Oryctolagus cuniculus: one gene and its partner. The protein of the gene in region 1 interacts with the protein of each later gene in a pairwise test. Links are inferred from orthologs where the notes say so. Each region holds a gene or a part of one and is shown in the gene's direction. Other genes may lie near its edges.

Region 1 (4,395 bases):
TGGCTGCTAAGGTTTGCTTCAGGGCCACCCGCACCTGCCTGACATTCTCTTGGAGTGAATTCTCTGGGGGGAAGTTCCCAGTCACTCTTCCATGTAGACTTCCAGTCCAGAATCCCGTGATGAGGCTGCCATGGCTCAGGATCCCAGTAAGCATTTATGAGGCACCTATCACATACCAGGGGTGGATGGAGGATGGAGGATGATGGGCGCCTGCCCTGGAATTTTAGGTGACAGCTCCTTGAGCACTGACCCATTTAAGCTTCCGAGGAGTGGCGCCTCCTGCTGACCATTCATACCAGGAGTGTCAGCTACTCAGCGACTTGGCAGAGGACTTCCTTTCAGTGTGAGAAGTTTCACCAAAGTTTCTTAAACCCTGTACGCTGACAGCTCCTCCCAGAACACCCCTAAGCCTCTCCCTGTGCCCTCACTGCGTTTCTTCCCGCAGAGGCCAGGACGAAGGAGAAAAAGTGACAGAATTGCAGGACACTGTGCACACAATCACGATACCCGAAAAGCCAGTTCCTTCTGTTGTGCAGTGAAGAAGCCAAGCTCACACTAAGGTGAAACCAAAAATATGGACATGGCTTTCCATGCAATATATGTGTCTCCCCTTCACACACACACACACACACACACACACCCATTCTGATTTCTAGTGCTCAGTAGGACAGGGTCAAAAAACCCACAATGCAGTTAGCTAATCTGTGGGCCACTACGACAACTTACGGTTGTGTCTGTCCCTCTCTCCCTGGCGTGGGGATACAACTGCATGTGGAGAAAGAAGAGGGACTTGGGGGACAGGGCGAGGAATATGCCCATATATTACATAGCTGTGTCACTGATTTTGCAGGTAGAATTTCAGAACATCGTGTTTTACTAAAACCGTGGAAGGTAAGTGGATGGAGACACCCAGCAAAGCAGAATGCAGTATTTGCTGTGCCTGATCGGCTATGGCTCGGCGATTCTTCATTGGCCACATCCCTCTAAGTTGAGCACAGAGTAGGAGCTAAGGGACCATGCTACTGTGTTCATGCTAGCTACAACTGCGCTCCTCCCGCCCGGCGGCTTGAGCCCGCTGGCTCGTGTCAGAGCCAAGGAGAAGGAAGAAGGAAAGGCACTTGGGAGGGCAAGAACGAGACCACCGTAGAACCTATGAGCCTTTGTTGCTGCGTTTGTTATTTTGCTCAAAAGCCTGTGCGGTGGCCAGCACGGACCGTGGCAATACCCCGCGCTCCTAATTTCATTCACTCGTAAGAGTGCGGATCCAGGTTTTCACTTTTGTTTTAGGATTTCATGCAAAACACTATGCAAATAGAGAGCATTGGAAAATTTCCAGCTCACAAACAAGTGAGACTGGCGACCGGCTCTTCGGGATCCCTGGCGGCGGGGCAGCCCCGGCGGGGCAATGGGCGGGGTCGGGGAGGGCGGAGCGGGGGCGGTCCCTGGGCGGGGACTAGGCGGGGCCGGGGTGGGCCCGGGGCGGGGCCCGTGACGCGTCGAGTCCGCCGGTTCATGGGCCGGACCTCAGCCGCTCCCAGCCACAGGCCGCTGCCGCCGCCTCCGCCGCCGCAGTGGTGGCTCCGCATCCTCAAAAGGGGCCCTCGGACTCCTCTCTGGGCCAGTCCAGCACTGGTTCGCGGAGCCCCGCACAACTCGGGCTGGCCCCTGAACGGCGAGCCCTTCCTGCCCGAGTTGCGGACAACTTTCCCTTGCCCTTGGGTGCCGCGGTGGCGCGGTGGCTCGGTGGCGCGGTGGCTCCCGGACAGTGCCCGCCGCAGGTTCCTGAACCCAGCGCTCCGCTCGCTGCGCCTCCGCTGGGCGCTGCGGCGGGTCGCTCCCCGCTCCCCGTGCGCACGTGGGGTGTCCCTGCCCTGCGTCCTGCGGGCGAGATGCCCCTGTCACACATCATGAGCCAGGATCTGGAGAAAATTGCCGTGGATTACATCGTGCCTTGCCTGCACGAGGTGGGCTTCTGCTACCTGGACAACTTCCTGGGCGAGGTGGTGGGCAACTGCGTGCTGGAGCGCGTGAAGCAGCTGCACCGTGAAGGGGCCCTGCGGGACGGCCAGCTGGCCGGGCCGCGTTCCGGCGTCTCCAAGCGGCACCTGCGCGGCGACCAGATCACGTGGATCGGGGGCAACGAGAAGGGCTGCGAGGCCATCAGCTTCCTCCTGTCCCTCATCGACAGGCTGGTCCTGTACTGCGGAAGCCGCCTGGGCAAATACTACGTCAAGGAGAGGTCCAAGGTAGGAGGCGCGCGGGCGCGGGGGGCAGCCGGAGTGAGCTGTCCGTCGCCTTCGCCGGGCTGCGCGCGAACTTCGGGGTTCATCCCAGAAGTCAGCCGGGTTCCTTTCTGGCCCCTCCACCCGGCCTTGACTCCCAACCCCGTCCAGCTCCTCTGTGCGAAAGTCCGCGTTAAGAGGCTGTTAATAGTGGCTGCTCTTGGTGATACAAGCCCGAGCAGCTGGGGCTTTGGGTCCGATTTTAAGGCACAGAGGTGCTCCGAAATCCAGACAGGAAAGGATGTTGGGAACGTTGTGTTTGACCTGAGACACACCTGGACACACCCACGATTGCCCTTCGTTGTAGGCTGATGGGATTCTTAGAGAAACAAAACAGCTGTGTTTTGCAGTGTGGCGGTTGCTTTGCGGAGCGTGGCAGGTGTGGGAAGGTGGGACGAAAGACTAGGACAAGTGTACGGTCTAAACTCTTCGCTTCGCAGGGCTGCCCTTGACTTCTTGGACAGGCGTACTGTCGGACGGACCATCTGCTTGTCTGGAAATTCTCTCCTTGTGCTAACCGCAAGCCACCACCTTCCTTTCCCCGACTATGGTTTGATGGCAAAATCCTCTTAACACAAACAGTTCAGTGCTCCTGAGAGAGGGGTCAAGTGCCTCCGGAAAGAAAGCATGTTTTTGTTCACAGAGCCGGAAGTGACTCCCTGGTTGGTAATTTATCTTGGAAACAGGTATAGGTAGATGGGCAGAAATATGGGAACCCTCACCATGATGTTGGTGCAAGCGTGTTCCTTTGGGATAGAATTGTTGCTCCGTCTCCTTCAGTTGCCAGTCCAGCCAGTTTTCCACTGGCAGTTCTGAGTGATTTGCACTTGTAGAGTGGTCTGGAAAGAGACACGCGAAATTGTGGAACACGTTTCCTGAAAACAAGTGAGGCGGAGTAGACTAGCACCGGAGGGGGAGGGAAGAGGAACATTCACCCAGGTACCACCATTCTTTGGACAACACACATAGTGTTTCTCAATCTGAGATAGGTCCAGTGATAAAAGGAAGCAGTGTTGTCTCATCTGGCCCACAGAGAGGAGCACTCTTAGTAACAGGGCAGTTTGCCAGGACGGCACGGGCGTGGGAAGCCAAGGGTCGAGGGGTGTGCATGGAGCAGGGAGCCAGACTGCTGTGTACCTTTCAATCCAGGAGCAACGGAATAGCATCTTCGAAGAAAATGCTGCTTTCTAAATTTTACTTTGATTTGGGAAAAATCCACCACAAATCGCACTGTGGAGAGGCCGACGTCAGAGTGTTTCTTTACTCCGCTCCTATCGTCTTGGTGGTGGATTAGAAAGTCATTTTTCTTTAGGTTAGGCTTGTTTTTATACCAAGTGACCTTCCTGGTCTCCTGGGGTGGGGCAGGGGGCTTAGCCTCAGTTGTTGCTAGGCCCTCCTAGCTTCAACCCAAGAGCAGATGGCTTTTTAACAGTTTTTTCTTTTTCCTTTTTTAAAGGTTTTGTTTAAACTCAGGTGTTAGAAATTTCTCCTCTGGAATTCTAGGAACAGAATTTGCTCTGGGGGAGGTCAGAATTAATTGGTAAAATCAGGTCACTTGCGTATTTGAAGGTTAAAGGGTTTTATTTAGCTTCAAGTTAGTGCATAGGGTGAGGGTTCCAAACTAGAATGAACTCACATGGAATGAAAAGCACAGTGTAAGTTAGGGAAAGGAAAAATGACTGCGAGATAGGAGTATTCGGCTATGGGTTATCTTCTGGGTGGAAAACAACTCCACTTACCCCTGTCCGAAGGTGACCGGTCTTGTCTGCTGAAGGTGCACTGCGCGTACCTAGATTTCCAGATTCGCTGGGGCGGTTTGGGCGCAAAGGCCTTCATCCCTGCCCTGGAGAAAAATCACCTGTGGATTAGGGTATTCCCTGGCCAATTAGAACCAAATGCAAACCAGATTTGAGAAAATAGTAAAGAAAAAAAAATTTCTGTCCTTGTATGAAGAAGTCTTAGTGATGTCTTGTGGCCACGAGTTTCTTGCTGGAAGCTGGTTCCTGTAGCATGGTAGAGACCCATTTCCACAGGTGGGTTCGCCAGTTCTACATGACTCCTGTGACTGCTGCCTTCATTTACCCTTTTCACCTCTTGTGTTTCTTCCCTCAGC
Region 2 (3,806 bases), on another chromosome or scaffold:
ATGTGATAGGAAAACGCCAAGATGCTAAATCATTAAGCGTGGTTGTGGGGATGGCGGGCTGCTGTTGCTCATCATGTCGTCTTCTCTCCTCAAAAAAGACATTCAGTCATTTCACAGATATTCATTACTGTCCTGTGTTCGAGTCCCTGAACGAGGCATTACCCCCTCCTATCTAGAAGTAAGATCCCCGTCAGATTTCCATAGTTCTGTTGCACATAGTTACCATCTTTTACAAAATTGTACACCAAGAAAAATAATACGATCAGGTCCTTTACCAACAGCTGGCCCACTAAGCAAGTAGTGAGAGATTGCATTGCTTGGCTGGAGAGGAAGGAGGAAGGGGCTTCTTTTCCAAGCAAAGAAGGCAGGCTGGTGTTCTCAACTGGAGCAGCCACTCGTTTGCCAATGGTGGAGTAGGAATGGGGATTTAATGTTCTCTCCATAAATCACCTGTTGACATACAGACCGTATGATGCAGCTGGAGACTAGTGAAAGCATAGTTTCCCCTTTGTAAAAACAAGGGCACTTCAAAATGTTCATGAAAAATGGAATTAAGGGCAAAGTTTATTTTGGTGCAGAAAAATTTGCAAACCCATGCACAGCAGGTGTCTGCAGGCAGTTCATGCAAGGTGCATGTTATGAAAAAACTAAGTACATGGATTCCAACATTTCTTTTTTGCACCAAAATTTATCTTTTAATTCTATTTTCCCTGAACTTTCTGAAATGCGTCCCTATGTCCCTGCTAGTGGTCACAGCCTCCAACCCCACCCAACACATACACACAACCCTTTTTCCTGTGTGTGTGGCCACTCTGTGCACCACCGAGAAAACAAAGCTAATTGGTGCCTTTGTTTCACTCCTAATTTACATTTTGTTATACTTTATTTAAATAGTTTTTAAAATTGCTATTTTCCTACTGGTAGGGTTGTTTCAGGAATGGGCAGAGTGATTTTGAAGCATTTATGTTCCTGTCGTCAGTCGGGTAGACAGGTTCAAAGACTATGTAATCAGCTTTTCAGAAGCACCTGCTAATCAAATTTGAAGCCATTACCTTGCATCACTTTAATGTCTGCATTTTTCCTGTGTCATCACTCTTCCTATCTGATACAAATAATTCCCTCCATCAGTGTAGTTAAGAGGTGCTAAAGAGGCCAGTGCTGTGGCATAGCAGGTTAAGCTGACACCTGTGCTGGCATTCCAAATGGGCACCAGTTTGAGTCTCAGCTGCTCTGCTTCTGATCCAGCTCCCTGCTGATATGCAGGGAAAGCAGCAGAGGATGGCCCAGATCCTTGGGCCCCTGGACCCATGTAGGAGGCTATGAAGAGGCTCCTGGCTTCTGGCTTCAGCCTGGCCAAGCCCTAGTCAATGTGGCCATTTGGGGAGTGAACTAGCAGATGGAAGACCTCTCTCTCTCTGTTTCTCCCTCTCTCTCTGTACTCAGCTTTTCAAAATAAATAAAATAAATCTTAAAAAAATAAGGGGTGCTGAAGATCCTTGGATACTTGGACTTTATAGTATGCTGCTATGTTCTGTTGTGTTCCCTCTGCATCCTATTGGAAACACTTCTGCTTTGTTCAGTGCTGAGGTCTAATTTCGTCTCTGCTTCCCCAGAATTCAATTCGGCACAACCTTTCCCTCAACAAGTGTTTCCGGAAAGTGCCCAGACCTCGGGATGACCCTGGGAAGGTGAGATGCTGCTATCAGATTTGCAGGGAGGAGCAGGAAAGAGAGCTGAGTAGGTGACGGCCCGGGTCCTGTGGCTTTTTTAATTACCCAGAAGAGGAAATCATGTTAATTGAGAAGCAGCTTTATTTTTTTGTCAAAGGAAGAGCTTGTTGTCAAGCCCGTGGGCCCCCCTTAGGTTGTAAAATCTTTTTTTTTGTAAACTTTAAATAGAAATATTTATGGTAAAGTAGACTTAATAATCTTTTAGAATCCTTTCTACACAAAAATCGTTGGGTTTCCACCTTCGTAAGGGAGAAGGTACGGGTCCTTCTCTTCATCTGGCAGATGTAAATGCTAAAGTCCAAGAGGGATTTGCCTGGACCACAAGGGAAAGGATGGGTTACCTTTGGCCACATCTGGACATTTCCAGCTCATCCATTTCCATAGTCCTGCCCCAGAGGCCTGTGTCTGGGCCACTGGCATACCTTGGCATACTCTGCGGGTACTCAGATTTACTCCTCAGGCATTCTGGGTACGCTCAGGGTGCTGTGCGAATGTCCAGCCCTGTTCTTAACATGACTGACACATGGGTGTGAATCTTCCCCCCAGGCTACGTTTCTAAACAGGGGAACTTCTGTATGTAACAGTCATTCTCCGTGGGGTTGGGTTTTCCTTCCAGGGCTCCTACTGGACGATTGACACCTGTCCTGACATTTCCCGGAAGAGAAGGCACCCTCCAGATGACGAGGTAAGGTCCCACCTCTCCAGGAGTTGCGGTTTCTGAACCAGCTGCTCCTTCCCACTCTCTTCCTGGGTTACCTGGGCTCCAGCAGAGGTGGACCCAGGGGTCTTGCGAGGATGCTTTGCCTGCACTTACGGATTCCTTCCTTTGTAACCCTCAGCTGTCCCAAGACTCACCAGAGCAGGAAGCAAGCAAGAGCCCCCGGGGAGGCGTTCCAGGGACTGGAGAAGCCTCACTGTCTCCTGAGGGGAATCCTCAGATGTCTCTTCAGAGCCCCACATCCATTGCCAGCTACAGCCAGGTAGGGAGCTGAGGAGGCAGGGGTGTGGGGGGAGGGTGGGAGGCTGGATTCAGGATCAGGACCGATGAGAAAATGCTGCCGGGCTATGGCGCGGTCAGGAGGGGAGGAAGAGGATGGCAGGAGTGCCTGGTGACCACTGAAGGGTCGTTCGCATCACTCCCTCAGCTAGGACGTGGATACGGACCGAGTCTCCCGGTTTCTCTGCAGGGCACGGGATCTGTGGATGGCGGACCAGTGGCAGCAGGCCGAGAAGGTGCCGAGGGCGCCCCTCCCCTCTATAACACCAACCACGACTTCAAATTCTCCTATTCAGAGATCAACTTCCAGGATCTAAGTTGGTCCTTCCGCAACCTCTACAAATCCATGCTGGAGAAGTCCTCGTCCTCCTCCCAGCAGGGTGCGTTTGGAGCTGGGTGGGCGAATGGAATCCTGATATTATTTACTGAATGGTGATGTTCTCTCTTCTCCCTTATTTCTTGTTTATATTTACGTATCAATTTTTTAAAAAAAAGTTCATTTTATTTGAAAGGCAGAGAGAAAGAGAGTCTTCCATCTGCGGGTTCACTCACCCAATGCCCGCAATAGTTGGGGCTGGGCTGGGCTGAAGCCAGGAGTCTGGAGCTCGATGGGGGTGTCCTATGTGGGTGGTGGAATCCAAACGCTTCGAGCCATCCCCTTCTGCCTCCTAGGATGAGCATTAGCAGGAAACTGGAATAGGAAGTGGAGCTGGGACTCGAATCCAGGCCTTAGATATGGGATACAGGTATCTCAAGCTGTCTTAACCGCAATGTCAAATGACCACCCTGTTTCTTTAACACAAGAGGACGTTGGTCATTGGTTAGAGGAAGCGTGGCATGAGCTACAGCTGAAGTTGAGGGAGCTTGTCCGTCTATCCTGCAAGGACAGCAGTTTCAGGAGGAGAGCTGGGTTTTACCTTCATGAAGTGTGTTGGAGGATTCCTTTTAGATGTGTGACCGCTGGCATCCAGGTAATGACCACTAGGGGGCAGCAGCACTACCCTCACCCAGGGATCCCTGTATTTTTTTGTGAGAGCAATTTGCTTTTACTTTTTAATGTATCCATGCTTATGTTACCT

The links.
Region 2: the proteins of EGLN3 (region 1) and FOXJ2 interact in binary tests that used the Homo sapiens proteins (3 or more experiments, as listed by UniProt). The two-hybrid records come from large-scale screens. The link is inferred for Oryctolagus cuniculus from reciprocal best matches to the Homo sapiens genes EGLN3 and FOXJ2.

Annotation. Positions count from the first base shown.
Region 1 is NC_091443.1:41,509,827-41,514,221, forward strand, and holds the start of EGLN3 (prolyl hydroxylase EGLN3), read left to right. Parts: upstream 1-1,496; 5' UTR 1,497-1,512; coding exon 1,513-1,719; exon of another isoform or gene 1,720-1,766; coding exon 1,767-2,246; intron 2,247-4,395. UniProt on the Homo sapiens protein: Prolyl hydroxylase that mediates hydroxylation of proline residues in target proteins, such as PKM, TELO2, ATF4 and HIF1A. Target proteins are preferentially recognized via a LXXLAP motif.
Region 2 is NC_091440.1:101,908,112-101,911,917, forward strand, and holds part of FOXJ2 (forkhead box protein J2), read left to right. Parts: intron 1-1,613; coding exon 1,614-1,688; intron 1,689-2,346; coding exon 2,347-2,415; intron 2,416-2,569; coding exon 2,570-2,710; intron 2,711-2,917; coding exon 2,918-3,107; intron 3,108-3,806.